2 linked regions of the Danio rerio genome follow. The protein of the gene in region 2 binds, or shares a complex with, the protein of the main gene of each other region. Links are inferred from orthologs where the notes say so. Each region holds a gene or a part of one and is shown on either strand. Other genes may lie near its edges.

What was found.
Region 1: the proteins of edar (region 2) and eda are in contact, whole or in part, in a crystal structure (PDB 7X9G), measured with the Homo sapiens proteins. The link is inferred for Danio rerio from reciprocal best matches to the Homo sapiens genes EDAR and EDA. Residues at the interface, in NP_071731.1 of Homo sapiens: Glu55, Pro56, Tyr57, Leu58, Lys78, Ile86, Arg88, Arg89, His90, Asp92, Glu94, Gly95, Phe97, Val134; in NP_001390.1 of Homo sapiens: Gln256, Ser258, Ala259, Gln261, Asp265, Asp273, Arg289, Tyr310, Tyr311, Lys340, Thr341, Tyr343, Ser370.

What each region holds. Positions count from the first base shown.
Region 1 is NC_133180.1:37,382,137-37,398,535, forward strand, and holds part of eda (ectodysplasin-A), read left to right. Parts: intron 1-3,691; coding exon 3,692-3,755; intron 3,756-11,539; coding exon 11,540-11,575; intron 11,576-11,729; coding exon 11,730-11,915; intron 11,916-13,640; coding exon 13,641-13,672; intron 13,673-14,285; coding exon 14,286-14,337; intron 14,338-15,749; coding exon 15,750-15,874; coding exon of another isoform or gene 15,875-15,880; intron 15,881-16,015; coding exon 16,016-16,276; 3' UTR 16,277-16,399. UniProt on the Homo sapiens protein: Cytokine which is involved in epithelial-mesenchymal signaling during morphogenesis of ectodermal organs. Functions as a ligand activating the DEATH-domain containing receptors EDAR and EDA2R. May also play a role in cell adhesion.
Region 2 is NC_133184.1:58,410,878-58,427,276, reverse strand, and holds part of edar (tumor necrosis factor receptor superfamily member EDAR), read right to left. Parts: intron 8,717-16,399; coding exon 8,616-8,716; intron 6,782-8,615; coding exon 6,656-6,781; intron 6,030-6,655; coding exon 5,955-6,029; intron 1,984-5,954; coding exon 1,911-1,983; intron 1-1,910. UniProt on the Homo sapiens protein: Receptor for EDA isoform A1, but not for EDA isoform A2. Mediates the activation of NF-kappa-B and JNK. May promote caspase-independent cell death.

The sequences.
Region 1 (16,399 bases), on a different chromosome or scaffold from region 2:
CAAACACACAGTGGATTAAAAAACAAAGCATGAAACAGCAAGGTGTTTACAGATCTACAAGTGTCATCTTACCAGCAAAAAACACACACATACTCGTGTTCAATCTCACACTTCAATGTTTTACATGGATATATGAATACACATGACACCCAATGCACTCTAGGGCTGAACTTTGTGATTTAGTGGCTTCTCTAATCACATAAATAACTTGAATTTTACCCAGACACAGCTGCATGACCCCGCCAACCTCGCTTTATGAGTGTGTGTGAATTCAGACTCTTTTTTTTTTTCTTTCCTCCAACAATGCTGCAATCAACAAAAGGGAAAAAAGACGAGCAATGAAGACGATAACGGCAGTCTAGGTCTTGTAACATGACTCTACTGTGAAACGCAGCCGGGTTGTGTTCCCTGTCTTACTGACACAGACACGGATATGTGCTACTGCAGATGACCCAGAGTTTCTCTTCTCTCAGCCACTTCATTCACTGACTCGCATGGGAACAATCCTAAAGTATCATTATCCTCTTCAATACAAGATGTAGGATTAGCCGTGTGTGTTTGTGGATATCTGGCTGAGCATCCTTTTATTGCGACCTCAAATGATCGCAGTCACAATAGGGTTATTTTACGTGTACAATAAGTGACAGTTAAGATGCAAATTTAGAAAAGATTCAAGAAAAAAAGAAGAAAAAGAGGCAGAGAGAATGGTAACACTTTTTAGTTCCATTTCTCTCTATTAACTACTGGCTTATTACCTGCCTAATATTAAGATGTTTATTAGTATTTCTGAATTATGATCTTATTCTGCATCCCTAATCCCATACCTAAACTCAACTACCACCTTGGTAATTATAAGCTTATGTCACACAGCTGTCATTTGAAAAAACGAAAGCAAGAAGAGAACCCGAAAATATAGGATCACCACTGTAAACATTGCAACAACATGCTGTGGACTAAAAAACCTCCAGCAGTTGCCACGATTTCAAAGTGCAGCTATCGTGTAAACATCGCTTTAATGTCATTCAGGTAAATTTAATTGAAACAATTAAAAGCACATTAGGCATCAAATCACATCATAATCTCTTTAAGAGTAATACGCTTATGGATGTTTTCACACCTGCCTTATTTAGTTCGGTTGAATCAAAATAGAGTTTGTTTTCCATCTTGGTGCGGTTGGTTTGGGCAGGATGTAGCAATCGCACTCGAGTGCGCACCAAAAGCGGACTAAAAAGCGTACCGAGACCTCCTTGAAGAGGTTGTCTTGGTATGCTTTTAAACGAACCCTGGAGTGGTTTGTTTGTGATGAGAAAATGATCCGAATTAGAACAAACCCAACCGCAAAAAATACTGCACCTTTTTGAACTTATCCAGCTGCCGTAGGCCGAAGCGCTGTAAATTGTGGGATGTGGAGGAAAAATATTAGTTGACAGCGCTTAATCAACAATTTTAAACAGAAGCTGCGTTCCTATTGTCACACTATACACTCATGCACTATGTATTTATTCACTTACACACTCAACAGCATAGTATATATATGTAGTGTTGTCGCAAATGGAGCACTGATGTTTTTTTTACTAAGCGAAAATTTAAACCTTTTCCCAGATGATGTTTGACGGTTACCAAATCAGTGAATTAAATGACCAAACTATTAAATAATACCTGCCATGAGTATAACCGCATTCACCATCGGTAGGCACTTTACTCGCTCTCATAGGAGAATTTATTTCTTTCACCATCCAAAATAAATCAAGTTATCCAACATGTGCGGCCGATAGCTCTGCCCTTTCCGCTACGTGAGCAAAACTGCAGTGTGCATGAAGTGTCCATCATTCCAATAAGTGCATCGTCCGGGTAATTAAAGTGCACTTACTATTTGAGTTTTCCGTGTGAATTCACTGCCTATTCTACAAAATGGCATAGAATAGTGCATAAGTTTGCAATTTGGGATGGTCCTAGAGAGAGAGGGAAAAACATTACCTAATGGATCATTGGTAATATTTCCAGAAATACGCTTCCACCTGAAGTGACTTGCGATGCGCCTTCACCTTTTACAATGCATTAAAACTTTGACCAAATGAATTGAACCACTGATGTGAAAGCACCCTAAAGGCTGATTTATACTTCTGCGTCAAACGCTGGCGTATGCTACGGCGCTGACGCATAGACCTTTGACGTGCACCTCTCAAAAAATGTAACTACGCGTTGCAACGTGCAGCGCTGTTGAGCACGTTCTTAAACAGCACTCATTTGCCATAGTATTCACTAGAAATGACAGTGATTGGCTGTGAAGGTCATCAGTTGCCCACTTTTTACCAAGTGCAAACACAGACACATGAACTCTGGAGCATTTTAAAGTCAGGAAAATCAGTTGATTTATCAGCAGATTGCTCGTCTGTGTTTGCACTCAGTAAACTGCAGTGAAGTCCGGCCGATCGACCGGAGGGTCCCTAGTAAATGCAATAACTATTGAATCCTTATTGTGAAGTGTGACCAAAAGAATTATTAGAAAGTGAAAAAAGGAATCTAAATAGGGAAGGAACAAGGGGAAATGTAGGAAGGTGGAAAGAAATGAAAGTAAAAAAGGAAGAAAGAAAAAAAAGAAAAAAAACATTTGGAAGGATGAAAATCAGGAAGTAAGCAAAAATGAAAAGAAAGAAAATGAAAGGAACAATGTAAAATGTTGGGTTGGAAGAAATAACTGAAGGAAATAAGAAACCTATTACCTAAGAAGACATGAGAGGAAGAAAGAAGGAAAAGGATTGAGAAAGGAAAGAAAAATTTTGAAAGGAAAGAAAAAGGGGAAAAAATTGAAGGAGTGAAGGAATAAGAAAAAGAAAGAATGAAAAGCAATTAAAATAGAAAAATTGATAAAAGAAATATCAGGGAGTGCAAAAATTGTAGGAAATGAGGAAGAAATGGAACAAGAGATGGTAGAAGTGGAAGGAGTTTGAATTGGAATACAGAAGAAAATTTAAACATGAGGAAAGAAGAAGAAAAATAGAAGTGCACATGAAGATATCATAAGAGAAAGGATCATTAAAATGTATTCATAAAAACTCTCTGCTTATGTATGTGTGTGTGTGCGTGCGTGCGTGCTGTGCGTGCGTGCTGTGTGTGTCTGTCTGTCTGTGTGTGTGTGTGTGTGTGTGTGTGTGTGTGTGTGTGTGTGTGTGTGTGTGTGTGTGTGTGTGTGTGTGTGTGTGTGTGTGTGTGTGTGTGTGTTTTAGGCCTACAGTGCTATTACTTTGTTCATATGCGAGATAATGATAAGAAAAGTATTTCCTTTTTAAATAATTCATTAAGTTTATGTGATTGTGTGTGTGTGTGTGTGTGTGTGTGTGTGTGTGTGTGTGTGTGTGTGTTTGTGTGCTGGATCATCCCAATGGAATGTCTTACTGCTGTAAATCCACAGGGTTTCTCATCACACACACACACACACACACACACACATTATGTTCATTATGTTCAGAGTGTTGTCTGTCAGCAGAGAGGTGTGTGCGTTTGTATGCGTGTAGTTTTAGTTTTACATGGTGACATTTATTTTATGAAGAAGTGGATTAGTTTCATTGATCATGTCTTGGCTCGAACTCAAACTCGAGTTAAACTCTAAAATGCTTTGAAACGGCTCCATGAATTAATTTCATTCTTCTGTACTGCATTTCAAAAAACCCTTATTCCTTCATCTTCACAGAGCAGATGGAGGGATGAACACACAAGAGGCCTGGATAGAGTCATTCATCGCACCAAACGTTCAGGTAAAAAAAGAAAACCTTTTGTGTGTGTTGGTATTCATGAAATGTAGAGCTCATATTAAGTGTGCATGTGAGTGTGTATACGTGTGTGTGTGTGTGTGTATATATAAGGCCTGCGAGATTGCCAGCATTTTCACTTTGATGTGGTTTCGAGTTCAAAACGAGATGCATTTCCTTCATTTGATCAGGCTACCTCTCACTCTCCTTCTCCCCCTCGTTCATTCCTTCCATCTTACTCATTATTGGGCTATGCTGTGCGCACCAGTAGTTTATATGTGAAATCCCTCTCCTTTTTTCCACTCTAGTAGCTTCTAACAAACCGATATTGCGCCCCTCTTTTCTCTCTCTCTCTTCCTCTCATTGGCCGGCTGTAGCTTTTAGTTACCTACTCCTCTTTCCACTGCCGTGATTGGCTCCAGTTGGCAGCCGTTTGATTGGCAGGTGGTTTTGGCTTTGATTACAGCTCTGCACTCACTGGCTCTGATCAGGAGCTCTACTGTTTCAGCTTTTTGCACCTGTGTGTGTTGTGTGCCAAAGCAAATACCGATACAACACAGATAACGCGCACGCAGACTACACACACATGCCATCGCAAACGACGCTGGAGCAAGTTCACTGATGAACAAGACACATGCGGTGTATGATATAATCCAGTTTGAAGTTAACAATCCAGATGTGCTAATTATGTGTGTGTGTGTACATGTGTGTGCGTGTGTGTGGATCAGGAAAGCATTATACAGTGGAGCATATGATACACTTTAGGCTCAAGTAAAATTACATTGTTGTACCCTGACATGAATAATACAATAATAAGTATTAAAATGTAACGTATTTGGCATATTTTAGTCTCATTTTTCCTTTACCTCTGTTGCGTTGCATTGCAATAGCTGTAATCTGACTGCAGAAAAGTGACTGCTGTGAATCTATGTGTCCTGAATTGTGTTAATAGTGCATGGAGTTCATCAGAAATAAAATGATGTATCAGTTTACTGTCTGGATTGGCTGTGTCACATTGCACCAACTACGTCATATCTAGAAGGAATCACTGATCACTGTGGAATCTGTTGTTTTTAGTGTTGTGTCATGCTTCTCTTTTCTAGTGTAGTTGGGTTTCCTGTATGGCATGAAGCAAATGCTTTCAAAGTTTGCAAAAAAAAGTCTAGGGGCTCTATTTTAATGATCTACGCACAAAGTCTAATAAATTAAAGGTGTGTCCGAATCAGCTTTTGCTATTGTAAGGATGGAAAAATACGCTTTGCGCCCCGGCGCATGGTCTAACAGGGTTGTTCTTATTCTCTTAATGAGTTCTGGGTGTGTTTTGAGCATAACATGCATTAAACCAATCAGAGTCTCATCTCACATTCCCTTTAAGAGTCAGTTGCGTCACACCATGGTGCATTTGCTATTTACATGACAGACTTTGTAAGAGGAAAAATTAAATGCTTAACTAGCGAGAAAACAGTTCAACAGACCAGAACGAGACTAAAGAATGAGCCTCCTCCATTTGGCCTCTTTACTTCATATTTCTTTTACTCTTTACTCCTTTACCTTCATGGAAAAGGAAATGGTATTATAAGCACTGCACTGAAAACATTCATCAGCCTACATATTTAATTTTGTTATGTTAAGTGCCAAGATTTGTTTCAAAACTATTTCTATATTCAGTTTTAATTTCCAGCAAAAGAATAAATCAACAATAATGAAGTGTGTTCAAAAAAACTGAGCTATATTGAAACAAACGTCCTATTCTCATGCCCCATATGCTGATGCATACATCTCCAAAACTCAACAGGGGGACAAATCTAAGCTTGTTTTTATTCAAACAAATATAAATATGCAGATAATAAATAATACAGCTAATAATAATAACATTATTCAAATTGAAATAAACTGAAAAAGCCCCCCGACATGAAGAAGGCATTGATGCAGTGTTTTTTTTTTTTTATGCTGGTCTGAAAATAACAACAAATCGCACCATACACGTCTTGCGCCTTATTGCGCCTGTTGTTTGATAGGGCACTACATTTCAAATGCGAACTAGGTTTTTTTCCATCTAGAGTGATTGTAGTAATGGTGGAGACAGCTGATTAGTCACATGGGTGTAATGTTCACTGTGTCAAAATGTATTATTATTTGCAACACTTTTTCGCACACGTCCAAAACCACCTCAAGCAAGCCTAAAAAAAATTTTGTGAATTAAAGGATTTTTGGCGCATTAAAGAAAGTGAATACAACACACACTTTAATGAGTTGATGGCATGCATTCCTAAAAAGAGAATTCTAAAAATGTCATCAATTGTAATAATAAAAAATTCATTTTGTTTAAGCTACTATAACAATGCTGTGCAATTTCAGTATTGTGATTCCATCAGCAGTTTTCATCTAGTTTGACTCATTATATAAAAAAAATACACCATTATTAATATGTCTCAAAACAAAGTTACATTTTAGGTTACAGTGTTACAGTTACACTCTCGTTTCACTTTTTCTGTCCGAGTTCATAACCTACAAATGAGAGTATAACTGCACTTACTGTAATTACACTGTTGCAAAAAAAAAAGAATAGAAAGCCTTAGGGCGGTTTGTATTGTTTTACCACCATAAATTGTCGCGAACAGCCCCATCGCACCGCTAGACAGTTGTTCTATATTACCTTGTGGTAATGCGAGCGCGTGTGAACGGTCAAATCCTTCTTGGCCAAAATGCCCGTTCTGGCAAGTTATCAATGCAAACACAAAAGGCAATTATTGTGTTTCAGGGTTTACTGAGAAAAGCACACTTGGCTTTACCCTTAGAAGTAATCTAAGCACATTTACATGTATTCATAGGTGAATCACAACGCTGTTCAGTCTTGAACTCTGCAGATACAGCATGCTTTTAATAATCCGAGCTTAAATCTCTGTATATTTGACAGCAGTGCATGGATGTTAAGAAATCCATAACTTACTGGAATATAGATGTATAGGATTTTGCATGCGGCTCTTATGTGTGTGCTGAAGAATACAGACCTCACTCAACGCTGTGTTTTGAACATGTTTTGAACAGCGTGCGCGCACAATATAACTCATATTTTACGTGATTTTTATGACTTGGTTCTAATTCTGTTAAACTACATTTCCATGAAATGTTGACAACCCGTTTTAATTGATTAGATTCTAGTATAAAATCAAAGCATTTAGTTTTGATGCACAAGTTGCTCCATCTACTGCCAAATAGTGTGTGAGTGCCTGTGTGTAATTCAATAAGGAAGCCATTTCTAATCCATCGTTGTGATCAAAAAGTCATGCCGTCTCCTTCCCAATTCACAGATTCAAGGGTCAAAACACTTGCACATGGACATAGACAAACTCACTCACTTTGTGGCCTCATAAACATGCACTTTGTGAATGTACAGCTGGTGTTCGGTGTGTTTGTGTGTGCAGCTGCATGTTTGCTGTGAAATATGGTTCCAATATTGTCTGTCTTTGATGCTAATTTGTTCCATTCATTAAAGACTTTTAACACTCGTTCGTTTTTTTCTCCCATTTAAAACAAACACAGACAAACCCACCGTCAAGGAGCCCTCCCTATGAATTCTTTGTATACATTCACACGTGCACACATGCATACCAGTTTTATGGATTTCTATTTTAGCCAGTAAAACTCACAATACTGTGCTTGTCTGATTAAATTAAGCATTACTGTGATTTGTGATCATTTAGAAAAATACTCATGAAAGATTCTTACCTCTAAATTGTCTCAAATGTAGTCATAAGCTCATTGTCCTATTGCTTTTCTTGTGTGATCTCTCTCTGAAGCTCACCATCACCACCAGAGGGAGTTCATACACTGGTTAAATCACTGCTGTAAATTTACAGGATCAATTATCTCACAAACCCAGTGATTACTAATATGTAGGGTGATGTTTAAATTATGTTTAGCAAATTGATGTGGATTAGCTGGCTAAATTAATACACTGTTGCCACACAACTGTGTTTAAACACAGTGTTTTGTGTTTTTGCATAATAGGTCCCTTTTAAATCATTTATTTTGGGGTATATTGTGGTTGATTTATGCAGTATTCATTTTTTTCAGTTATTTTTTCTTTAGCTTAGTCCCTTAATTCTTCAGGGGTCGCCACAGTGGAATGAACAGCCAACTTATCCAGCATATGTTTTACTCAGTGGATGCCCTTGCAGCTGCAACCCAACACTGGGAAACACCCATAAATTGTCATTCACAGCCAATTTAGTTTATTCAATTCACCTATAGCGCATGTCGTTAGACTGTAGGGAAAACTGGAGCACCCGGAGGAAACCTACACAAGTACTAGGAGAACATGCAAACTCCACCTAGAAATGCCAACTGGTCAAGCTGGGACTCGCACCCGCGACCTTCTTGCTGTGAGGCGACAGTGCTAACCACTAAGACACTGTGCCACCTTTATACAGTTTTTTATATATATATATATATATATATATATATATATATATATATATATATATATATATATATATATATATTTATTTTTTTTTTTATTTTTTTTTTTTTTTAGTTGAAATAAATTATTATAAATTAGTTGTCTGCGCTACAGTGGCGTGATATTTACAGACTACAATACTATCAACATTAATGTTTGAAGAATGTGCAAGCTGACTATCATGATGATGTCGCAAACTTTGCAAAAAATGAAGCGTTCTTAAAGCATTCACTGCATGATGAAGCTATTATAAAGCTTAACTCAAGAGAGAGAGAGAAAACCCTGTATTGTTTTTTAGTAATAAAACGAGTTTTTTTTTTTCCCAAACTTTAGTTGTAAACATGATTAAAGAATATGATTTTTTTTTCTTTTAATTGTTTTAACAAAAAGTTAATATTGTATTACATTTTAGACACAATATAGTTTTTTGTCAGTTATGTCTGTAATCAATTCATAAAGCCAATCGCTTCATTTATAACAGATCATTTTAAATTTAGTGAATCCCTCATTGAAACAGCCTTGCTACCACTTGCATGCAGTTTAGTGTATTTATTTTTAAACACAGGCCTAAACTAGCCAATGTATCTTTAGTTTTATTGTCAGTTCCTATAAATGTTTGCATTATAAATTTATTAACGATAAATGCAAGGCATACAGAGAATTGAAATTGTGTTACTCTCAGACACTAGAAGCCTACATATAACACAAAACACCATTCATTTATTTTCCTTTGGCTTTGTGCCTTTAGGGGGCTCGCCACAGCGGAATGAGGTGCCAACTTATCCAGCATATGTTTTAAACAGTGAATGCCCCTCCAGCTGCAACCCAGTACTGGGAAACACCCATACACAATAGCGCATGTCTTTGGACTGTGGGGGAAACCAGCCCAGCAGGCACAGGATGTCAACATGACGTTAGATTTACGTTGTACCCCAATGTCATGGGGACAATGCATTTTGTTTGGAAATGAAAACCGGGTTGACATCAGATCCCAACGTGAGGCGGACGTCAACGTCCAACCTAAAATCAACCAAACGAGATGTTACAGCTTGACGTTGTGTGGAAGTTACCACTATGACATCTACCAGACATTTGATTTTGGTTGCCATACCTGACCAATAAATGTCCGTATTTAATGTCAATATGACTTGGTTTAAGATGTTGGCTCAACGTTAGATTCTGATTACTTTCTAACACAACCTAAAATCAACCAAATATCAACGTCATTTGATGTTGTTTGTGGAAGACAGAATAATGTTTGTTGTTAGACGCTGGCTCAACAGATTTTTGGTCACCTGACGTTACGACTTAAATCTAACCTAATATTAACGTCTTGTGATGTTGTGTGGCTGCTGGGAGAGCACCCGGAGAAAGGCCACATGAACATGGGAAGAACATGCAAACGCCACACAAAAATGCCAACTGACCCAATCGGGACTCGAACCAGCGACCTCCTTCCTGTGAGGCAACAGTGCTAACCACTGAGCCCAAAACACTATAGAAAGACTGTAAAAATATACATTCATTCATTTTTTTTTTCGCCATAGTCCCTTTATTAATCTGGGGTCGCCAAAGCGGAATAAACTGCCAATCCAGCATATGTTTTTTGCAGCGGATGCCATTCCAGCCAAAACCTTTAAAAATATACACAAATATGCAAATAAATACAATTTTTGAGAAAAATTTTGAGAAAAATACAGGATACAAGAATTCTGTTTACAATTAAGGGCAAATAGCCACAGCCCCAATGAGACTTTTCTACAAGCTGTTAACATGACAGAGCTCAAGGATCAGTTATTGTATACAAACAAGCAGGAGAGGTATGCTGTACATGTGCTGTAATGAGTAAGAAGCAGTCTGATGTTGAGATCTGTCAATATTGCACACCATTAGTCTGTGCTTTTTGTTTTTCTTTGAAATTCACAAAAGTGTTAAAAATAGACTCAATTGAATACAAAATCAAGACTTAATTGATCAGCTATGTTAAACCCTCCACTTTTCATGGCCAGGGAAAGCGCAGTGTTGGTTGCACCTGGCATTTGCAGCTGCTTGAACTGAATTGCAGCTGGCATGTGTAAAAGATGCAGGGTTTGTGTTGAAATAACTGTCCGCTGAGTTCACTCCTGATTGTTTTCTCAAGAAGACGGGGAGCTCTGCAGAGCGCCACTGAAGGCAGGTCAAGTTCTTTGCATGCTTATTCTGTGTGTCATGTTTGGTTTTGGTTGTTCGTGTTTGATTTCATATAAGTGCATATTGGTCTTTCTTTCAACTCTAGTTGATTTTCATATAATGAGAAAAAAAGAACGATTACAGGAAAAGATTAAAGGCAGCAAGTTGTTTGTCTCCAGTTTTGATATTCTGTGTTTTGAGAAAAAGAGATATCGCGTGCGAAGCCCACCAGACAACACAATGAAAGCGGCAGTCATTTACAAATGAGCTGAAGTAGTTTTATTACGAAAAAAAAAGACCCCCGAATACTAGCCAACACAAACACAAGAGTGACCTCAGGCCTTAGGAACACAGATCCGTCTCCTGAGAGTTTATGTGTGTGCGTGTGTGTGTGTGTGAGTGTATGTGTGCTCGTTTTTAAATCCCAGTGAGGACTTAAACCTGAATGCACACACTCAAGGGAACTTGTAGCACAGTGGGGACTTAAATTGTTGGTCAATTTGGGTAGGGGGATAGAAAATACAGTCTGTACAGTATGAAAGTCATTATCTCTATGTGAAGTCCCCTGTGCGTGTGGGTGTTTACCCTAGACTTTAGCTATAAAAGTCTTTGTCCTACTTGTTCATCACTGATAAGCTCTGATTATACAAATGTAGATTTGCTTGTGTGTTTGATCGGTTGTATTATAGATTGTTCATTCACATATGTTATCAACATTATACATGTGGATGTTAGAGGATCCAATGCTGCTTTAGTACTGAAATGTGTGTGTGTGTGTGTGTGTGTGTGTGTGTGTGTGTGTGTGTGTGTGTGTGTGTGTGTGTGTGTGTGTGTGTGTGTGTGTGTGTGTGTGTGTGTGTGTGTGTGTGTGTGTGTGTGTGTGTGCGTGTGCGTGTGCATGTGTGTATTTGTAGACAGCAGCAGAAGCAATTGTCCTTCAAATTACACATGGGTTTGTTTTTCTGTGGTCATGTGAGCGTCATTATCAATTTAGCCACTTTGAAGCAAATAAACCATCTCTTGGAATAAATCATCCGCTTTTTCTGGAATCTGAAACAGGATTTCAAGAGGAACATTTTGTTGCATGTGTGATTTGTGAATGTAAAATGATACATTTCCAACTGATTGTCTTTCTTCCTTCTGCTTATTCCTCATCCAGAAACTAATGGAAAAAAGAAAGGCGAGCGAAAAAAAGGTAATTTCATCATCCTCTCGCTGTTATTTGAAAATTGAGTGGCAGTTTTAGGAGCTTTGTTTTGCTTCTCATCAGTTGTTTCTAAGTGCTTTCAATGTTTCAGCTTATGGGAGACTGATCTTGCTTTCCTTTCTCTCTCTCTTTATGTCTTTAGGCAAGAAAGGGCCCCCTGGTGCTCCTGGACCTCCGGGGCCACCTGGTCCACAGGGTCCACCTGGAATACCAGGGATCCCAGGAATTCCAGGCAGCAACGCCATGGGTCCCTCTGGCCCACCCGGCCCTCCTGGGCCACAAGGACCACCTGGACCACAAGGACCACCTGGACCTCAGGGACCTTCAGGTTAAGACTGACACCTGCCTCTACATACAGTCAAAGCGAGCACTTCACATCTAGAGTGAAGCAGCAGAGCAAAATCAGTTTAAACCATGGGTCTCAAACTCAATTCCTGGAAGGCCGCTGCTCTGCACAGTTTTGCTCCAACCCTAATCAAACACAGCTGATCCAAATAATTAAGTTGTTCAAAAGAGTCTCAAACCCCTTGATTATTTGGATCAGCTGTGTTTGAGACCCATGGTTTAAATGATGGGGCTGCATTGCAGTGCCGTGTTTTTGTAGTCCATAGGAATTCATTGTTTAAAATTTTCAATTTAGTTGTTTCATTTTTGCCATTTATAATAACAGGATATAAGCTAAAATGATTGGGAAAGGTTTGTGAGCTGGGACATGAACTCAGGACTCCAGAAGCACAGTGGCTCTATATGTCGGCACACTACCCACAAGGCTATCAGTGCCGATTTTTTGTGTTATTCTAAGCATGTTATTTTGTAGTTTAATCATTTTTGAGACCAAGATGTATTTCACTAGTTTTGTTCCAGTTTTGATATAGTAGAATCCTCTTTATAATAAAAATAAATATAGATTAAGTAAGGAATAATGTACATCCTGCTGGTTTTTATCACAGAACAAAACCTGACCAGCTTATCAAAATCCCAGCATGAGGAGAAACGCATTACTCTGTTACTTGACAGAACAGCGAGATACAAGACATTGATCTGAGCTGTAATCATTTATTAGCCATTTAATTAAATATAAAGCTATTTATAAGTATCTAATTGAGCCTGTTTAATTGGTTATGCTATCAGGGGAAAAAGCATTCATTTTGACCAAGTTTTCCAGAGAGCCATGTAATAATCCTTGTTAGAAAAACAATTGTTTTTCCATTCAGGAACAAAATGCACTGACCCAGTATAATAATAGAGATGCCAGTTCAAGTTAAAGTTGTGCTTTTTATTGTCATTCCGCTACACATGTAGATATACAGTGGAATGAAATGTTGTGTCTTGCAGGACTACAGTGCTACATAAATAAACATAATCATAATTCTAAACACAACACTGGACGTATTTTAAACCTATATATAACTAACATATCAAAGTGGTAATCTAACTATGCTAACTACTAACTATGCACATTCTGTAAATACACACAACCTAAGACAGACTATACAAGTACATAGACAGAACAATATTGTGTAAAAGAAGTATTTTAAGGTTGAAGTAAACAAGCAGTGCAACATGATTTGTGATCAAGAAGGTAAAATGTCATATTCACTACTTTTCTTCAAGAAGACATAAAAGAAAAATATATATATGTAAATATACAATGTATAATAAATATCAAAACTCCAAATGGGTTGTTTTGAACTGTGTGCTAAAAACGATACATCTTGTATTTCTCGCATTCACAACTGCTTACATTTGGTTTTAAATAGCCCAAACGTTCACACATTTGCACTTAAAAGCACATGGAAATGATAAACCTGTTGTCTGAAACAGTCGTGTAAAATCCATCACTTGTCCTGAATGTCTTTCACGCTGGTCATCAGTGTTTTGTTCAGCTCTGCTAGTTGTAAAGATGTGTGGAAGCCTTCACTCCTGCTGTGAAGGGATTATACACAAAACAGCTTTGACATTTACAATTACATGATTCAAAGTTTATCACAATAATTTGTCACTTAACAGACACTAAACCCATCTAATTTTCCCCTTCCCCTTGTGTTAACAGGTGGTGAGAAAGGCAAACACAGAGAGGCACAGGTATGTGTGTTCATCTCCACAGACACACTGCACATGACTCCATATAAAAGAGATGATATTAGGGAGTGTAGATTAAAGGTCTTGTGAAATGCTTTAAAATGTGCATTTTTATTCGATGTTTCAAGTAATCTCAACCAAAACATGAATAGAGGGTGGGACATTGTGTAGCTCCTCCCCTTTAAAAAAAAAAACAGCCAATAGAGTTTTATTTCATCACCACTCTGCCTGTAAGAATGGTTTAGCCTAAGCGCATCAAATGAAAAGCAAAAGAGAAGCGTCTTGAAGGGGGTGGGGCATGTCATATACTAGAGAGCATTTAATTTGTTATGATGTGATAAGAAACTAGTATAGGTTGTTGTGAATAAAACCATTGATCCATTTAGGTGAAAGTGACAAACTACAAACTTTACATATCTATATCAGTTTTATATCTTCTATATGTGAATTTTGTCACTATTTTGGAGCATACTAGCATAATACTGATATTAACATAAAAAATAACCTTAGTTTAATTTCAGGGGACCTTTTATGGACACAAGCACATTTTCATCATGCTTTTCAGAGTGTGCGCAAAGATATAATAGATTTTTTAATGTGTTTGATGTTTCTGCAGCCAGCTGTGGTGCATCTTCAAGGTCAAGAAACCACTATCCAAGTGAAAGAAGGTAAGAGTTAAATAATGATCCTTCTCATAAAGAAATGCTTTTTTGTTTTTGTTTTGACTTCTTTGTATGAAGGGCTCAGCTGTAAGGATGGTCCACTGGCCATAATATGTGTACTTTGTTAGAAATGTATATTTCATGGAAAAAGTACCAGTCAGACGTTTTGAGTCAGAAATTTTTTCTTTAAATAAATACTTTTACACAGCAGTGACATATGTGACCCTGTGTCATAAACTTATTTCACAGGTACATTACAATATAAAGTAGATATTTATTAAGAATATATTTTGTGAATGTCCTACTGTGAATATATAAAAAAAAGCATAATTTGTGATTCGTCATAATTTATACTGCTATGAAGTAGGAACATAATTGGGGCAATTTTAAAAGAATTTTCTAAAAAATAAAAAATAATAAAAGGAGATTTTAAAATTCATGTGATTCCAGATTTGTCTCATCTTAACAGATCATACATCAATCTTAAGGTTATTTATGTAACAGGGTGTCTTCAGGGCCTAATAAAAGTCTTAAAATATCTTACATTTCAAAAATAGAATTTTAGGCCCTAAAAGTCTTGAATTCACTGAAATATTGTGTTGGTCCTGAATCATTTTAAACAGGTCTTAATTTTCCTCTGTCCACGTAAAGTCACCTAATCGGGCCAACACACATCCAGTCACCACCAATCCATCTCAATAAAACCTTTAACAAACATTTATTTATTAACTCTATATCCCAATATGGTTTAATTATCATCCTTACAATGACATTTGTTTATAATGTTTTTAATGTTTTAACTGGGCCAGAAAAAAATGTAAATCTGAAATTTCATTCCCAATGTTCTTAAAAAGGTCTTAAAGTCTTAGATTTGACTTGATGAAACCTGCAGAAACCCTGTATTAAGCTTTTGTGTGATTGAACCAAGTTCACATATTAAATTTGAAAAAATAAACACTAATAACGTTTTTTTAGAACTTTCTGCTCACATAAAAATTACAAACAGAAATTTGTGTCAGTTTCCACTGATAATTGATCGTTTATTCCATTCATAATAACATCAGATGTTTTTTAAATACCAAATCTGCATATTAAATTATTCAGATTCTGTCACTCTAATGACTGAAGTAATGATGCTTTGAATCACAAGGATACACTTTGAAATACTTTAGCATAAAGATGTTTAATATATGAAAAATATTTTAATAATAGTGTAAATAGTGTAATACTGTATTATAATAAGAGTGTAAAAGGCATTTTTCTTTTTTTAAAGTTTATTGATCATTGAAAATTAGAATTTTTTATGAAAATGTCAGTTTATATTAAAAAGCTCTCAACAGTTGAGCCCTGGTGTGTGTGTGTGTGTGTCGCTACAGTCACAACAGATGATTGAGTATTTACTGGTGTCTGTCTGTGAGATTTGTCAGAAGGTGTGCTGAAGAATTGGAGGATGATCTCGATCCACCAGAGAGTGTTTAAAATGCACTCGCGCTCTGGAGAGCTGGAGGTCCTACTTGACGGAACATACTTTATATATAGTCAGGTAGAAGTGAGTACAGTCCCTGGACTCTACTGCTTATACACACACACACACACACACATACACATATACAGCATGCGTTTCACAAATATACCACAGCAACATTAAAAGCCCCAATGCGCTTTGTGTGTGTGTTTGCACCAGGTATATTACCTGAATTTCACCGACATTGCCAGTTACGAGGTGATGGTGGACAAAACTCCGTTCTTACGCTGCACCAGAAGCATCGAAACCGGCCAGCGCAAGTTCAACACCTGCTACACAGCCGGAGTGTGTTTGTTACGAGCTCGTCAGAGAATCTCCATTCGCATGGTATACGAGGACACCTCCATCTCCATGAGCAACCACACCACCTTCCTGGGCAGTATCCGGCTGGGGGACGCCCCGTCTGCAGGACACACCTGATACCAAACCTGAACACATGCACAGATCAGTACCCAAAACACCCTCTGTCAGCCCTTACACACCAAAGCAGACTTTAAAAAAAGTTCTAGAAAACTGGTTTATGTGACTAGATGAGCTGAGAGA
Region 2 (16,399 bases):
GTGTGTGAAGTGAAGCTGTGAATGAGTGGCTTCAGGCTGATCTGAGTTCACTGAGAGAGAAGAGCTGCACAAACATGCCTGCAAACCAGCGCCCTGCTGAGGGGTTAGTTAAACTGACTGATGAAGTTTTGGGTTAGTTAACCTGATTGATGAAGTTTTGGGTTAGTTAAACTGACTGATGAAGTTTTGGGTTAGTTAACCTGATTGATGAAGTTTTGGGTTAGTTAAACTGACTGATGAAGTTTTGGGTTAGTTAACCTGATTGATGAAGTTTTGGGTTAGTTAAACTGACTGATGAAGGTTTGGGTTAGTTAAACTGACTGATGAAGTTTTGGGTTAGTTAAACTGACTGATGAAGTTTTGGGTTAGTTAAACTGACTGATGAAGTTTTGAGTTAGTTAAACTGACTGATGAAGTTTTGAGTTAGTTAAACTGACTGATGAAGTTTTGGGTTAGTTAAACTGACTGATGAAGTTTTGGGTTAGTTAACCAGATTGATGAAGTTTTGGGTTAGTTAACCTGATTGATGAAGTTTTGGGTTAGTTAACCTGATTGATGAAGTTTTGGGTTAGTTAACCTGATTGATGAAGTTTTGGGTTAGTTAAACTGACTGATGAAGTTTTGAGTTAGTTAAACTGACTGATGAAGTTTTGGGTTAGTTAACCTGATTGATGAAGTTTTGGGTTAGTTAACCTGATTGATGAAGTTTTGGGTTAGTTAACCTGATTGATGAAGTTTTGGGTTAGTTAACCTGATTTGGGTTAGTTAACCTGATTGATGAAGTTTTGGGTTAGTTAACCTGATTGATGAAGTTTTGGGTTAGTTAAACTGACTGATGAAGGTTTGGGTTAGTTAACCTGATTGATGAAGTTTTGGGTTAGTTAACCTGATTGATGAAGTTTTGAGTTAGTTAAACTGACTGATGAAGGTTTGGGTTAGTTAAACTGACTGATGAAGGTTTTGGTTAGTTAAACTGACTGATGAAGTTTTGAGTTAGTTAAACTGACTAATGAAGGTTTGGGTTAGTTAACTTGACTGATGAAGGTTTGGGTTAGTTAAACTGACTGATTAAGTTTTGAGTTAGTTAAACTGACTGATGAAGGTTTGGGTTAGTTAAACTGACTGATGAAGGTTTGGGTTAGTTAAACTGACTGATGAAGTTTTGAGTTAGTTAAACTGACTAATGAAGGTTTGGGTTAGTTAACTTGACTGATGAAGGTTTGGGTTAGTTAAACTGACTGATTAAGTTTTGAGTTAGTTAAACTGACTGATGAAGGTTTGGGTTAGTTAAACTGACTGATGAAGTTTTGGGTTAGTTAAACTGACTAATGAAGGTTTGGGTTAGTTAACTTGACTGATGAAGTTTTGGGTTAGTTAACCTGATTGATGAAGTTTTGGGTTAGTTAAACTGACTGATGAAGGTTTCGGTTAGTTAAACTGACTGATGAAGTTTTGAGTTAGTTAAACTGACTGATGAAGTTTTGGGTTAGTTAAACTGACTGATGAAGTTTTGAGTTAGTTAAACTGACTAATGAAGGTTTGGGTTAGTTAACTTGACTGATGAAGTTTTGGGTTAGTTAAACTGATTGATGAAGTTTTGGGTTAGTTAAACTGACTGATGAAGGTTTCGGTTAGTTAAACTGACTGATGAAGTTTTGAGTTAGTTAAACTGACTAATGAGGGTTTGGGTTAGTTAACTTGACTGATGAAGCTGAAGTTAATTAACCTGACTGACACCGCTGATGTGTTCGGTAATCTGACTAATGAAGTTGACGTGTTAGTTAATCTGACTGACTAGGCTTACGGGTTATACTGATATGGCTAATAGGTCGGTTAAACTGACTGATAAACTTTGTGATGTCTCTAAACGGGTTAGTTACTGCTGGTTAGTTGAGCTGGTTAACTCTCACCTTTTGGCTGTTTTTGGAGATGAAGGCTTGAGTTTGTCAAATTCGTCCTTCTCCTGGAAGATCACCACGTTCTCTGCAAAGGCAAGGTTTGAACATCAGTGAAGATCATTAATCTCAGATCTGCCCACAATGATGTAAATAAACAGAAATATCCATACTGAACATATAATGGAAGCGATCAACTATTCAATCAAATCACAACCTTTCCATTTATGAATTCCTCTAATATCCCAGATTTGTGTAATTCTACAAATCAGACAGCTTTCTAATGGAATAAAAGTCAACGGTAACGCTTTAATAAATGCTCCATTAATTAATGCATTTACTAAATTGAGCAAACAGTTAGTACTGCATTTATTGCATATTTGTTAATGTTATTGATGTAATGTTAGATAACTCATGGTGCATATACTAATGTTAACGCTGGATGTTAATAATGCATTAGTAAATGTTGAAGTATGATTAAGAAATGCATTAACTAACAAGACCTAATGGAGCATTATTGTAAAGTGTTAGCCAATCAGCATTCAGTGATGATCCTGCATGAGAGCAAACAGGAGATGAACGCTGTACTGTACACCAGCTTCTGTACAGCTCTAGACGAGTGTTGAGCGCAGATCAAACACTCATAATCACACCGTACATCCGCTCTGCTCAGCCTGTGATGCTCTCAAATCATCTGCCATACGCATTAATGTGACTTCAGCTGAATTATAAACATTTCCTTGGTATTTATTAGCTTTGCTTTTAAACTTTGGTCAGATGTTTTTAGTCTCCTTCCACAAGCTTCTCACAATAGTTTGCAGGAGTTTTGGCCCGTTCCTCCTGCAGAATTGCTGTAACTGAGTCAGATTTGTAGGCTGTCTTGCTCGCACAAGCTTTTTCAACTCTGCCCACACATTCTCTATAGGATTGAGATCAGGGCTTTGTGATGGCCACTCCAAAACATTCACTCTGCTGTCCTTAAAGCACATGTGAACTCATTTGGCAGTGTGCTTAGGGTCATGGTCTGTTTGGAAGAGCCATTTGTGGCCAAGTTGTAATGTCCTGGCTGATGTGTTGAGATGTTGCTTCAGTATTTCTCAACAACCCCACAACATGATGCTGCCGCCCCCATACTGCACAGTTGGGATGGTGTTCTAGGCTTGTGCGCTTTCACCTTTGTCCTCCAAATGTAACACTGCTCATTATGGCCAAACAGTTCAGTCTTAGCTCCATCAGAGCACAGGACATGTCTCCACACATCAGTCTTGTTCCCAGTGTCATTCAGCTAACTGTAATCTGGCTTTTCTAAGGTGTTTTTGGAGTAATGGCTTCTTCTCTGCTGAGAGGTCACTCAGCACATGTCAGTACAGGACTCTTTTCACTGGATGATGAATCTCTCTTACTCGCTGCAGCCAGCGTCTTCACAGCATCTTTCGCTTTTGTTCAGGGGTTAATACACACAGTTTGAGGAATTCTTCTCCTTCTTGAGCGCTATGATGGCTGGACATTCCCATCTTGTTTTTACTTGTGTATGATTGTTTGAACCGATGAACGTGGCACCTTCAGGCATCTAGAAATTGTACCCAAAGAAGAAACAGACTTGTGGATGTCTTGGCTGATTTCTTTTCATTTTCCCATGTTGTCACACAAGGAAGCAGAGAGTTTCAAGGTTTAGTTGTTATTCATTAGTTTTAGTTTCTATTTTGTTTTGACTTTTTGTTTTCCAATTCAGTCAGTTTTATTTAGTTTTAGAGGCAGATTTACTAATGATTATTAGTTTATATACTTTAAAATGATTTAGTTTTAGTTTGTTTTCTAAGTGAGGATATTTGTTAGGTGCAGGATTCAAAATCAACAGGATAAATACTGTATTATAAAAACTCAGCCATACATGTTTTGAAACCTGTATTCAGAGGACACATGACCACTATCATCTACCTCAACCATCTACCCATCCTCAAACTCAAATACAACAGCCCACAAGACAGCAGCCCTCAGTACAGTATGTGTGCACGGCTGCTCTGAGGTTAGACGCACAGTAGTGATGGGAAGTTCAGATCTTTAACGCGGATGTCAGGACTCATTATGTAGTCAGCAATAGTCATTTCAGTCAGTTAAAACATCAGCATGATCTGAAAAATGTCTTACAGTAAAGTTTTGCAGCCCAACTGAAGCAGGATTCACTTATTTAAACACTTATTTAAACTTATGATTGTCTGTTATGAAATAAACTTTCGTTTTTCTCCAGATCTTCTAATTAAGCCCTCGGTTTACCCGCGCTGCAGTTGTTCAAGTTTAGTTGAGTCACAGCGGGCTGTACTGTTTGTGTTTAATTTGCTGAATCACGCATGCGCAGTAATATCAGTTCACTGCTTCTCAAATTTGATCTCAGTGTAACGTTACTGTTCTAATAACTGAATAACTCAGTGTATATATTGGATATTTAGAGTCAGAGGGGGGTATTAGGCTTGTTATAAAGTAAATAGTGGATAAGTGCTTACTGGAGACGCAAATCGTTTCAAATAATTCAGTTCGATTTGGTGAACTTGTTTAACCGGTTCACTTAGAAGATCCGGTTAAAAAGATTCGTTAGTGATGGTGATACAGAAATAAACCCATTATTGGGCACAAATATGTTAAAGTAATAGTTTTAAGTGTATCTAATGCTGTCATCGTGCTGCTGTCATGTCCACTGGTTGTTTTTGTTGCAGGAGCAACAGCGAGGATGACTGGAGGAGAACCGGCTCGATCTGGCCAATGGCAGCAGGATTACAGACTCTTAGATGCCGTACGGGTCAAACACCTGCAGCGCGGATTATATTTACTTCTAAACGGCTTCCAGTAAGATTACATTAAATACATTTACAAAGACACTATAATTTTGTGTTAGTTAGTTTTAATTAGTAATTAGTTATTTTAGTTACAATACAGTTTCAGTTAGTTTTAGTTTCTTCATAAACTCGCTTTATTTTTATTTCAGTAAACGACAAATATTTTACATTGTAGTTTTGTTTTCATTTACTATAATAACCTTGGTGTGTTTGAGGTTTGCCTTCAATACTATTGTGCCTCCAGTTAACTCAAATGTTGTCAATTAGCCAATCAGAAACTTCCAAAACCTCGACACCATCATCTGAGCTGTGTCAGAGGCAGAATAATCTCTCTCTCTCTCTCGTTATTCTGCTATTAAGCAAATAGAATAGTAATCCTGACTTACCTAAAAGAGAAATAATCAAGTCCCATTAAACATCTGACATTTTTTTGACAAATGGTTATGTGCCTTTTTATACAGCGTATGTAAACTTCTGGCTTCAACTGTATTTATTAACAATGAACAACACCTCTCTGATTGTATTTATTGATGGTTATATTAATGTTCATCTAAATACAGTTAGTTCAATGTTTAACTCACAGTGCATTGATTAATTATGACTAGCCTGAATTTGGATTTTAATAATGCAGTAGATGTTGAAATGTGTTAACATTTCCTTGTTGAAATATGTGTCCCGCGTTGCAGTGTTAGCATGATGTGCGAGCTTTAAGATGGGTTTAGATAGATTGTAAAAGCTGTAGTTAATGATAAATTTCAAAGGGCAGTTCACCCACATTTTTTTAATTCACTCACTGTTTACTGTCCCTCAAGTTGTTTTAAACCTTTTTTAAGTTTCTTTCTTCTGTTGAACACTAAAGAAGGTATTTTGAAGAATGCTGGAAACCCTTGACTTCAATAGTAGGACAAATAAACACCATGAAAGTCAACGGTTACAGGGTTCTAATTATAAAGTGTCAGCTATGGATATAAATGTCCTGTGCCGGAGTGTGTGACTGTGTGTGGGTTGTGTTTGTGTGTGTGAGTGTCTTAGTGTGTGTTTGTTGTGTCTGTGCATGTCTGAATGTGTGTGTGTGCTGGTCTGCATTGGATTACTGATGCAGGCAAGTGTATCTGTCCCCGCTGACCTGCATTTTCAAGTGTGTGTGTGTGTGTGTTTGTGTTTGTGTGTGTGTGAACCTGAAGAGCATTCCAGAAGTGCAGGATGGAGAGACTGATCTTTCACTCACCCTGAGCCTCCTTCTTCTCCTCCTGCATGTTTGTCTGAGCTTCTACAGCTTTGATGAGCTGACCAGAACAGCAGACTGCAGGAGACACACACACACACACACACACACACACACACACACACACACTGGGTTACATTAATGATTATTACAGAAGCACTGAGATTTTGCAGATGTGGAGGCGAAGCACACACACACTTTCAAACACACATGGACACATATTTAAACACACACTCCCTAACACACACTTCCACTCATACACACAAACATCCACACACTCATATTTACTCTCAAACACAAAGTCGCACATTTAAAATTCACACTTAAATACACAAATACACACATACTGGGTTACAATGATGTTCAGTACAACTGGAGCCAACAGAAACACACACACACACACACACACACACACACACACACACACACACACACACACCGAATCAGACATGATAACACACACACACACACATACACTAGGTGATGCTCAGCACACACACACACACATACACTAGGTGATGATAAGCACAGCTGGAGCCAGCGCGCACACACACACACACACACACACACACACACACACACACACACACTGTGATATCTGAAGCGTTATCTGTATCTATTAAATGTAGCGCTGCTTCTGTATCTGGTAATGTTCTGCCGTGTGTTGTTGTGCTACTGTAGTCTCGAGTGTTCGTATTTCTGACCTGGTCCGCTCGGTTTGCTCTTCAGGATGTAGAACATGATGATCATCACTATAGCGATGGCCATGATGAAGATGGTTGACATGGCGATGATGAGGGCCGTTGCTAGGTGACCCTGTCCTGTTGGGTCTGAAGTACAATCAGAAATTCAGTAAGCAAATCAGTACAGTCAGACAATAAACAGTTGTGTGTGTCTGAGATTGAGTACAGTCAGAGATTGAGTACAGTAGGAGATTCAGTACAGTCAGAGATTCAGTACAGTAGGAGATTCAGTACAGTCAGAGATTCAGTACAGTAGGAGATTCGTACAGTAGGAGATTTCGTACAGTAGGAGATTGAGTACAGTCAGAGATTCAGTACAATCAGAGATTGAGTACAGTCAGAGATTGAGTAAAGTAAGATATTCGGTACAGTCAGCGAATCAGTACAGTCAGACAATAAACAGTTGTGTGTGTCTGAGATTGAGTACAGTCAGAGATTCAGTACAGTCAGATATTCAGTACAGTCAGATATTCGGTACAGTCAGAGATTCAGTACAGTCAGCGAATCAGTACAGTCAGACAATAAACGGTTGCATTTGAACAGTGGTAAATAGTCAGATGATTAGTACAGTCAGAGATTCAGTTCAGTCAGACAAACCACAGTTGTAAACAGTCAGAGATTGAGTGAAGGAGATTCAGAAAAAGTAAAAGATTTACTACATGACATTAAAAAAAGAGATTCACTACAGTAAGAGATTCTGTATAGTAGCAGATTCAGAACAGTAGTATATTCAGAAAAAGTAAGAGATTCAGTACAATCAGAGTTTTTGTAAAGTCAGAGATTTGGTCCAGTCTGAGAATCAGAACAGTCAGAGATTTGGCACAGTTGGAGGTTCAGTAGTCGGAGGTTCAGTAGTTGGAGGTTCAGTATAGTTAGACTTCAGTACAGTCTGAGATTTAGTCAAATTGGAGATTCAGTACAGTCAAAGGTTTGGTACAGTTTGAGATTCAGTACAGTCAGAGGTTCAATACAGTCTGAGATTTAGTACAGTCTGATATTTAGTACTGTTGGAGATTCAGTACAGTCAGAGGTTTGGTACAGTCAGCGGTTCAGTACAGTCTGAGATTTAGTACAATCAGAGATTCAGTACAGTCAGATGTTTTGTACAGTCAGAGGAGCAGTACAGTCTGAGATTTAGTACAGTTTGAGATTCAGTAAGTCAGAGATTCAGTGCAGTATGAGATTTAGTACAGCCGGATATTAAGTACAGTCAGAGGTTTGGTACAGTCTGAGATTCAGTACAGTCAGGTTCAGTACAGTCAGAGGTTCAGTACAGTCAGACATTCAGTACAGTCAGAGTTAAAGTAAGAGATTCAGTACAGTCAGAGGATTGGTATAGTCTGAGATTTAGTACAGGCGGAGGTTCAGTACAGTCAGAGTTTCAGTAAGAGTTAAAGTAAGAGATTTGGTACAGTCAGAGATTTGATACAGTTGAAGATTCAAAACAGTCAGAAATTTGGTACGGTCAGATTCAGTACACTCCATGATATAGTACAGTCGGAGATCCAGTACAGTCAGAGGTTTGGTACAGGCTGAGATTCAGCAAGTCAAAGATTCAGTACAGTCTGAAATTAAGTACAACCAGAGGTTCAGTACAGTCAGACATTCAGTACAGTTAAACTTGAGTACAGTCAGAGTATGTATAGAGATTAATATATTAATAGAAACATTAATATATTTAGAAAAATTAAGACAATTAGTACAGTCAGAAATTCTGTACTGTCAGAGATTCAGTAAAGTAAGAGATGTGGTACAGCAGGAGATTCCAAACAGTCAGAGTATCCCTGTAGTCAAATGGTCAGTACAGTCAGAGAATTAGTACAGTCAGAGGTTTGGTACAGTCTGAGATTCAGTACAGTTAGAGATTTAGTACAGTTGGATTTTCAGTACAGTCAGAGGTTTAGTGTTAGTTTACTCTCACCTTTCTCTGGCTGAGGGAATATAGTGGTGCTGCTGGAAGAAACACTGGGAGCTCGACCTGAGGCTGGCGGTGTGGACCTCATGCCTGAAAATAACATGGATCTGATGATGATGATAATAATGATGATGATGATGATGATGAAATTACATTAAGATGAGGAAGAGTCAGTCAGAGCTTCATGATACTCACTGCTGCTTCACTAGTTTAATACACATCTCAGTTCAGATGAGGCTCATGTACTGTAGCTGAAACTGCAGTAACACCTGATAATAATGAGGTGAACTAACTTTAATGGCTTTTAAAATATCTTGTTCATTTCATTTACCGAAGCATCTGTAAACTCAGGTTTTATCTGTTAGTTTTGATCAAAAGAGTTGTTAAAAGCCTCAATAACCACTGAAAGACGTGCCGTCCCTCTGCTGCTGATTATGGGTGAAAGTGTTCCCTGAGGACGGGACTTTATTGTGCGCTGTTCCAGCTGAATGTGAAGGGTCTTTGTGTTCAGAAACACGTCTGCACCAGTCCTGCTCTTTTCAATGCCTCTTTAATTGTTTTCTATTGTGCGGTGACAGAAATTAAGTAGGTGGGAATGATATTTAATTAAAAACGGTAACAAACAGCCGCTTTAAAGCTGTAGATGTGAAAGTATGCAGCGGGCGAAGACATGCTCGCACTCGCCAGGTAATCTGCAAATTATGCTGCCCGCAGCGCACACTGCCGCGTCTAATAATTAAGAGTTTTGAGGGAATAAAAAGATTATTAACTTGCTGCTGCTTGCAGTTCACACACAGGAAAAGCCTGCGTCCGTCCGACAGACCTCACACATGAGCATTAGGGCTCTGTGATATTAAAAATACACATTATGATATTTGATTTTTCTGCCATATTCTGAGAATGCTTTCACTAGATTAAATGAATAACTCTATTAGGAAAGAATTAATCAAACTAGATAAGCTGGAATGATCTTGTAGAGCAGTGCATCTGCTTAAAATATAATAAACTGATCACAAGCATTGATGAATACAGTAGAGCAGAGACACACATGGTTTTCTGGAAGTCTGTCAGCATTCAGACACAAACAGTAATCAAATATAAAATAGTCCTCTATAGCACAGATGTAGAACTCAGTTCCTGGAGGGCCGCAGCTCTGCACAGTTTAGTTCCAACCCTAATTAAACACACCTGATCAAACTAATCGAGTCCTTCAGGCTTGTTTGAGACCTACAGGTAAGTGTGTTGGAGCAGGGTTGGAACAAAACAGTGCAGAGCTGCGGCCCTCTGCTGTATGGAGTATATTCACCATAGATGCACATACATACAATTGATTTTTCTTAAACTTAAAAACAACATTTTTATTTGTAAAGTGGTTTGAAATGCAGTCACACGGCCTGAAAACACATTCAGATGATAAACTAATAGTACATTTATGCTTAAAATGTGTCTATGTTTAATGTTTTTGCAATATATATTGCGATATTAAGCATACTTTGGCTAAATTAAAGAACAAATGGCTCTGGAAATGACTCATAATTTTACATTAATTGCAAGGATTTTGTGCATTTGCATAAAATAAGATAAACCAATCTCAAGCATTGATAAATACAGTATCGCAGTGGTCTTCAAACTGTGGTACGCGGGCTTTTTTTCTTGTGGTACGCGGAAGAATTGCTGAATAATAAAAGAATAAAATAAAATGAACACACTTTTAACCCTTTGACACGTACGATAACACCGAGACTCATGTGATCAGATAGCATTGGCTGCTCCCTGAAGCGTACGATTACACCGCTGTGCTTAGAATGTTTACTGTGACAGAGTCACAGAGCTGCGTGGCGCTTGCAGAGCAGATACACACGTGCTAGAGAAGCCCTTCTGCAGACCAGTGCTGTTGTGTTGGCATTTCAGTTACTGCAAACGCTGCATCATTGCTAAAATAATTATTACACATGTGCTAAATGTGTGCTCGTAGTCGTGAAAAATAATGCATGTTTTCAATATATGAAGTTATTTGTTTTATAATGCAGCGTGGCTTTCAGTTTAGTTAACTCAGATTTAAGCTTATTAATTTGGGTGTGTTTCCCTCGGTTTCAGCTCGCATCTCAGCCTGCCTGTCAGACATTTCACACTGGATGAGAGATCATCATCTTCAGCTGAACCTCACGAAAATGGAAATGCTTGAAGTTTCTGCCAACCCGACTCTACACCATAACTTTTCAATCCAGATGGACGGGGCAACCATTACTGCATCCAAAATGTAAAAAGCCTTGGAGTAACAATTGATGACCAGCTAAACTTCTCTGAGCACATCTCTAGAACTGCTCGATCTTGCAGATTCTCACTCCATAACATCAGAAAGATCCGACCCTTCCTATCTGAACATGCAGCTCAACTCCTTGTTCAAGCTCTTGTTCTCTCCAGACTGGACTATTGCAACTCTCTACTAGCCGGGCTTCCAGCTAACTCTATCAAACCTCTTCAGGTGCTTCAGAACGCAGCAGCACGAGTGGTCTTTAATGAAGCTAAAAGAGCACATGTCACTCCGCTGCTCATCCGTTTGCACTGGCTGCCAGTTGCTGCTCGCATCAAATTCAAAGCTCTGATGTTTGCTTACAAAGCGACTTCTGGCTTTGCTCCTTCTTATCTGCTCTCACTTCTGCAGATGTATGTGCCCTCCAGAAACTTGCGTTCTGTGAATGAACGTCGCCTCGTGGTTCCATCCCAAAGAGGGAAGAAATCACTTTCCCGAACTCTCGCATTCAATCTGCCCAGTTGGTGGAATGAACTCCCTAACTGCATCAGAACGGCAGAGTCACTCGCTGTCTTCAAGAAAAACTCAACTAATTAGTCTCCACTTCCCTTCCTAATCTGCAATTGCCTCTCTGGCTCCACCGCGAACTGTACTACAGAAAAATAAATAATTACTAATGTTTTGCTTCTTACACTTTACACACCTGAAACTTGCCTACAGCACTTCTTCATTGTTGCTCTTATAGTTGTGTAAATTGCTTCCTTGTCCTCAATTGTAAGTCGCTTTGGATAAAAGCATCTGCTAAATGACTAAATGTAAATGTAAAAGAGGCGAGACACAGAACATAGACTCAGACTTTACCTTACCTGAAGATTAGAGGTAGATTGTAATTAGTTATTGTCCGTGTGCACAGACTAAGGGATGGCAAACTGTACCGCAGTCTGCTTGAAAACAGCTGTCAGTGCGCGTTTAACGCAAACTTCATGGTTCACTTAAGATGTGATCTCATTTGTACCAAATCATGGAAATACAAACGCAATCTCACAACAGTTCGTAAATTTTTTATATAGTGGCTAATTCGCATGAATTCAGACGATCTAATTCGTACAATTTAGTACGATTTGCTCATCCCCCAATGACGGTTGGGTTTAGGGGTGGGGTTAGGTGCCCCGCCTCCTTTTTAAAATCGTACAATTTCCCACGACTGAACTCGTAGGAATTTGTACAAATTAGCCACTGAACTGGCAAAACGTAAAATACTTCTCGTGAGATCAGGCTGGAAATACTGCACGTATGAATTAGTCAATCACTGTACACTGTATATGCATATAACCGCTCGCTTATCTGACACACAGGGCTACTGTAAATGACAAGCAGCAGAGCTAATCTCTTATTTAAATATGTAATTCCAAATCATACATTTACAATACAAGTTAATATTTAGATTTCAAATAATTACAAATGTCATGTGCCCATGCAACTTATATTTCAAAATGTATTAAAAAATTGTATGTATGTGTGTGTATATATATCTTTTTTTGTCTGCAAGCACAGTGAGTAATGTTCAAACTATTTATAATGTGTACATAATTATTATAATATTAAAGTGGCTGACAGTAATACATATTTCTAATAATAGTAATTAATCTGCCTGGTTTTTGAGCTGTGCAGTGCTGTAGCTGCATAATTAGGCCTACTACACTATTGTATTTCAGTACTGCTCATTATGGTGGTACTTGGTGAAAAAAGTTTGAGAACTGCTGCAGTAGAGCAAAGCTGCCCACACGGTCACCCAAGCCTTAAAAACAGCAGCAAATGATAAACTAGTTGGTCAGTTTGTGGATAAATGTGCAGTAATCCACTGGTCATGAATGTTGTGCTGTGTTTTCTGGTCAAATGTAATCCTGATTGAACACTGCAGACTCTGATGTGAGTATTGCGGATGCACACTCTGCGATATCAGTGCTGGAATGATTTACGCTGCGTTCCATTCGGAAGGGCTCAACCCTACACCCTAATCCCTTCAAAGGGTTTGCGCTAGCTAGAGAGTGACAGCTTTAAAGGGATGATGGATGTAGGGATCAAACATTTTTTTAAATAATGAGACGATCAAGCAGGTTTCAGGAGGGGGAGGACTGACAATCTGAACCGCTCCATTGACTTTGTATTGCGGGAGGGTGCCAAAGATCTTGCTTTTTATTTTGATTTAAGGTGATTTCACTTCCTCCGTTGTCAGATTATTTTGCTTCATTTTCACTCATTATTTCTGAAAACAAGACAATAGTTGTGCTTTAACTAGAACAGGCTTCTTGATTTAAGAATTTGTAGATATTTGGACTAAAAACAGGACAGAAACATTTTTACAATCCTTTACTCAGAAGGGCCCTTCAAAGTGGCCTGTTTTGAGCACTTTGGTTGGGAGCTGTGCTCTAATATGGCAGTCATGTTTGTTTTCACTCTGAAGAGGGCGATATGTCCCGTTTGGAACGCAGCGATATTGAGAATGTTCCTCTATGATGTTTTCCTGAAATCAGCCTCCGCTTTCTGCCAGATGAGGCTTCAGGTTTCCTCAAACACTCCTCCAGGCATTTATTTCACTTACGGTGTGTTTGACACTCGCAATGAGAAAGAAATAAGCAAAGACGTCAAACATATGAGAGCTCTGACAAACTGTTCCCTTTCACATGCGCAATCAATCAAACCAACAGTGGAGCTCAAAACCAGAGTCCGTCTGTCCTGCTTGAGCCTCGTATTAGATATTTACAGTCCACTCAAACTACACTCCATCACACCAATCTGAGGCTCAATCTGGAGGAAATGTTCTATGGTGTTTGATCGTCTGCCTCTGCTAACTCTTTATAAGTTCACACATTAGATAGCGGAGTTAAAATCAGCACACACACGCATATATATATATATATATATATATATATATATATATATATATATATATATATATATATATATATATAATAGTTAACACTTGAAGTGGTTTAATTTTTTTTTTCTAAATTATAATCACTGGCCACTTTATTAGGTACACCTGTCCAACTGCTCGTTAACACTAATGTCTAATCAGCCAATCACATGGCAGCAGCTCACTGCATTTCGGCATGTAGACATGATCAAAAGGATCTGCTGCAGTTCAAAACGAGCATCAGAATGGGGAAGAAAGGGGATTTAAGAGACTTTGAGCGTGGCATGGTTGTTGCTGCCAGACCAGCTGTAAGGCTGGTGGTGGTGTAATGGTGTGGGGGAGATTTTCTTTGGGTCCATTAGTACCAATTGAGCATCAATGCCACAGCCTACCTGAGTATTGCTGCTGACCATGTCCATCCCTTTATGAGCACAGTGTCTCCATCTTCTGATGGCTACTTCCAGCAGGATAACGCAGCATGTCATGAAGCTCAATCATCTCAGACTGGTTTCTTGAACATGACGATGAGTTCACTGTACTCAAATGGCCTCAACAGTCACCAGAGCTCAATCCAATAGAGCAGCTTTGGGATGTGGTGGAACGGGAGATTGGCATCATGGATGTGCAGCCGACAAATCTGCAGCAACTGTGTGATGCTATCATGACAATATGGAGCAAAATCTCTGAGGAATATTTCCAGGAGATTGTTGAATCTCTGACACCAAGGATTAAGACAGATCTGAAGGGGTTCAACCTGGTACTAGTAAGGTGTACCTAATAAAGTGGCCGGTGAGTGTATATGTAATATATAGTGCTCTTCATAAATGAGCACACCCACTTTTACAAAATAATATTTTCATCAATTTCTCAATGTATATTTTGGTGCATTTAAACAAAGGAGTTTGATAAATCAGTTATATCCTTTATAATATGGTCAGGAATAGAAAGATCAGACTTTACTTTCAAACCAGGTATTAGAAAAATATATATACAAACTACAAAATCTTATTTCATATTTTCCTCCAGCATGTTATTATTTTGTGTGTATTGTTGTGGGATTGTGATCTCTGGTACTGACTGATCTACTGTATCTGCACAGATTTATTACTGTAGAGCATCCTGGAGAGAACAGAGGGATCTGAGACTCATCTATGCTGAACACTATATATATTGCAATAGATATTTGTCAATATTCCCAAAATATGTTGCGTATATTATAAACATGAAATCCAAATATGAACGGGTATGGCATGTGTGTCATTTGCATACAGAGTCCTTTATTAGATTTCTATGTGGGAGATTCAGTGAGCAGTGTTTCTGTGTGTGTGTGTGTGTGTGTGTGTGTTAATGTGTGTGTGCGCCTGCGGTCTGTTCCACACACTCACTGCTTCAGGTATGTGCTGGTAATCAGTGAGTCAAGCGTGTTATGAACGATCTGCCAAACACTAAACTCAGGCCAGGAGAAGGAAAATAAATGTGAAAAACATGGCGGCACCGCAGGCTGATGGAGTCCAGGCTTCAGTCGTCAGCTCACTGTCTGCGCAACTGTGTGTGTGTGTGTGTGTGTGTGTGTGTGGGCCACGACTTGCTTTCACTTCAGGAATGGAAGAGTTTAGTGTAATTGTGTGTTTATGCAGCGCTAGATAAAGCTGAGCACAGAGACGGACAGGAGACTCAGGCCATGGCCACACTGATAGGGTTCAGTTATAGTGCAGATCTTTCTCTCCGCTACAGCCTTCCGTCCACACTGAGACGAAGATTTTAGGAAACAGTCTGTTTGACGTCGCTGTCCTAAGTGGATAAATGTGAAGCAGTGTTTTGGAGTTCAGTGTGGACGGTGAAAACTGAGGCCTTGGAAATTTATGATCATTTTAGTCATGTGATGCAGTCATGTGACCAATCGCATTGTGTCGCTAATGTTTTAATAATTCCAGTAATGTGCGTTGCATCACTCACTCTAGATTACATGTGGAATGTTTTTCACCTTATGCAAATTTTTCACTCAACTTGAATTTGATTGGTCAGTTTAGTAAAGCCGATAAGTGTGGGAGGAGCTAATAGCTAAAGGGGTGGAGCAAGGCTATTAATTTGCATTGCGTCACTCATTCTGGACCACTCATGGAATGTTTTTCACCTTATGCAAATTTTTCACTCAACTTGAATTTGATTGGTCTGTTTGGTAAAGCTGATGAGTGTGGGTGGAGCTAATAGCTGTAGGGGTGGAGCAAGGCTATTTGCATTGCATCCTTAATTCTGGATTACTCTCGGAATGTTTTTTAACCTCATGCAATTTTTTCACTAAGGTTGATTTTGATTGGCCAATTTGGAAGCAGTGATACGTGTGGGTGGGGCTAATAGTTGTAAGGGCGGAGCAAGGCTATTAATTTGCATTGACTCATTCACTCTGGATTACTAAGAATGTTTTTCGCCGTATGCAAATTTTTCACTTAAGTTGATTTTGATTGGTCGGTTTAATGAGTGTGGGAGGAGCTAATAGCTATAGGGGTGGTACAAGGCTGTTTATTTGCATTGCATCACTTACTGGAGTACTCAAGGAATGTTTTTAGCCTCAATTCAAATTTTTCACTTAACTTGAATTTGATTGGTCTGTTTGGTAAA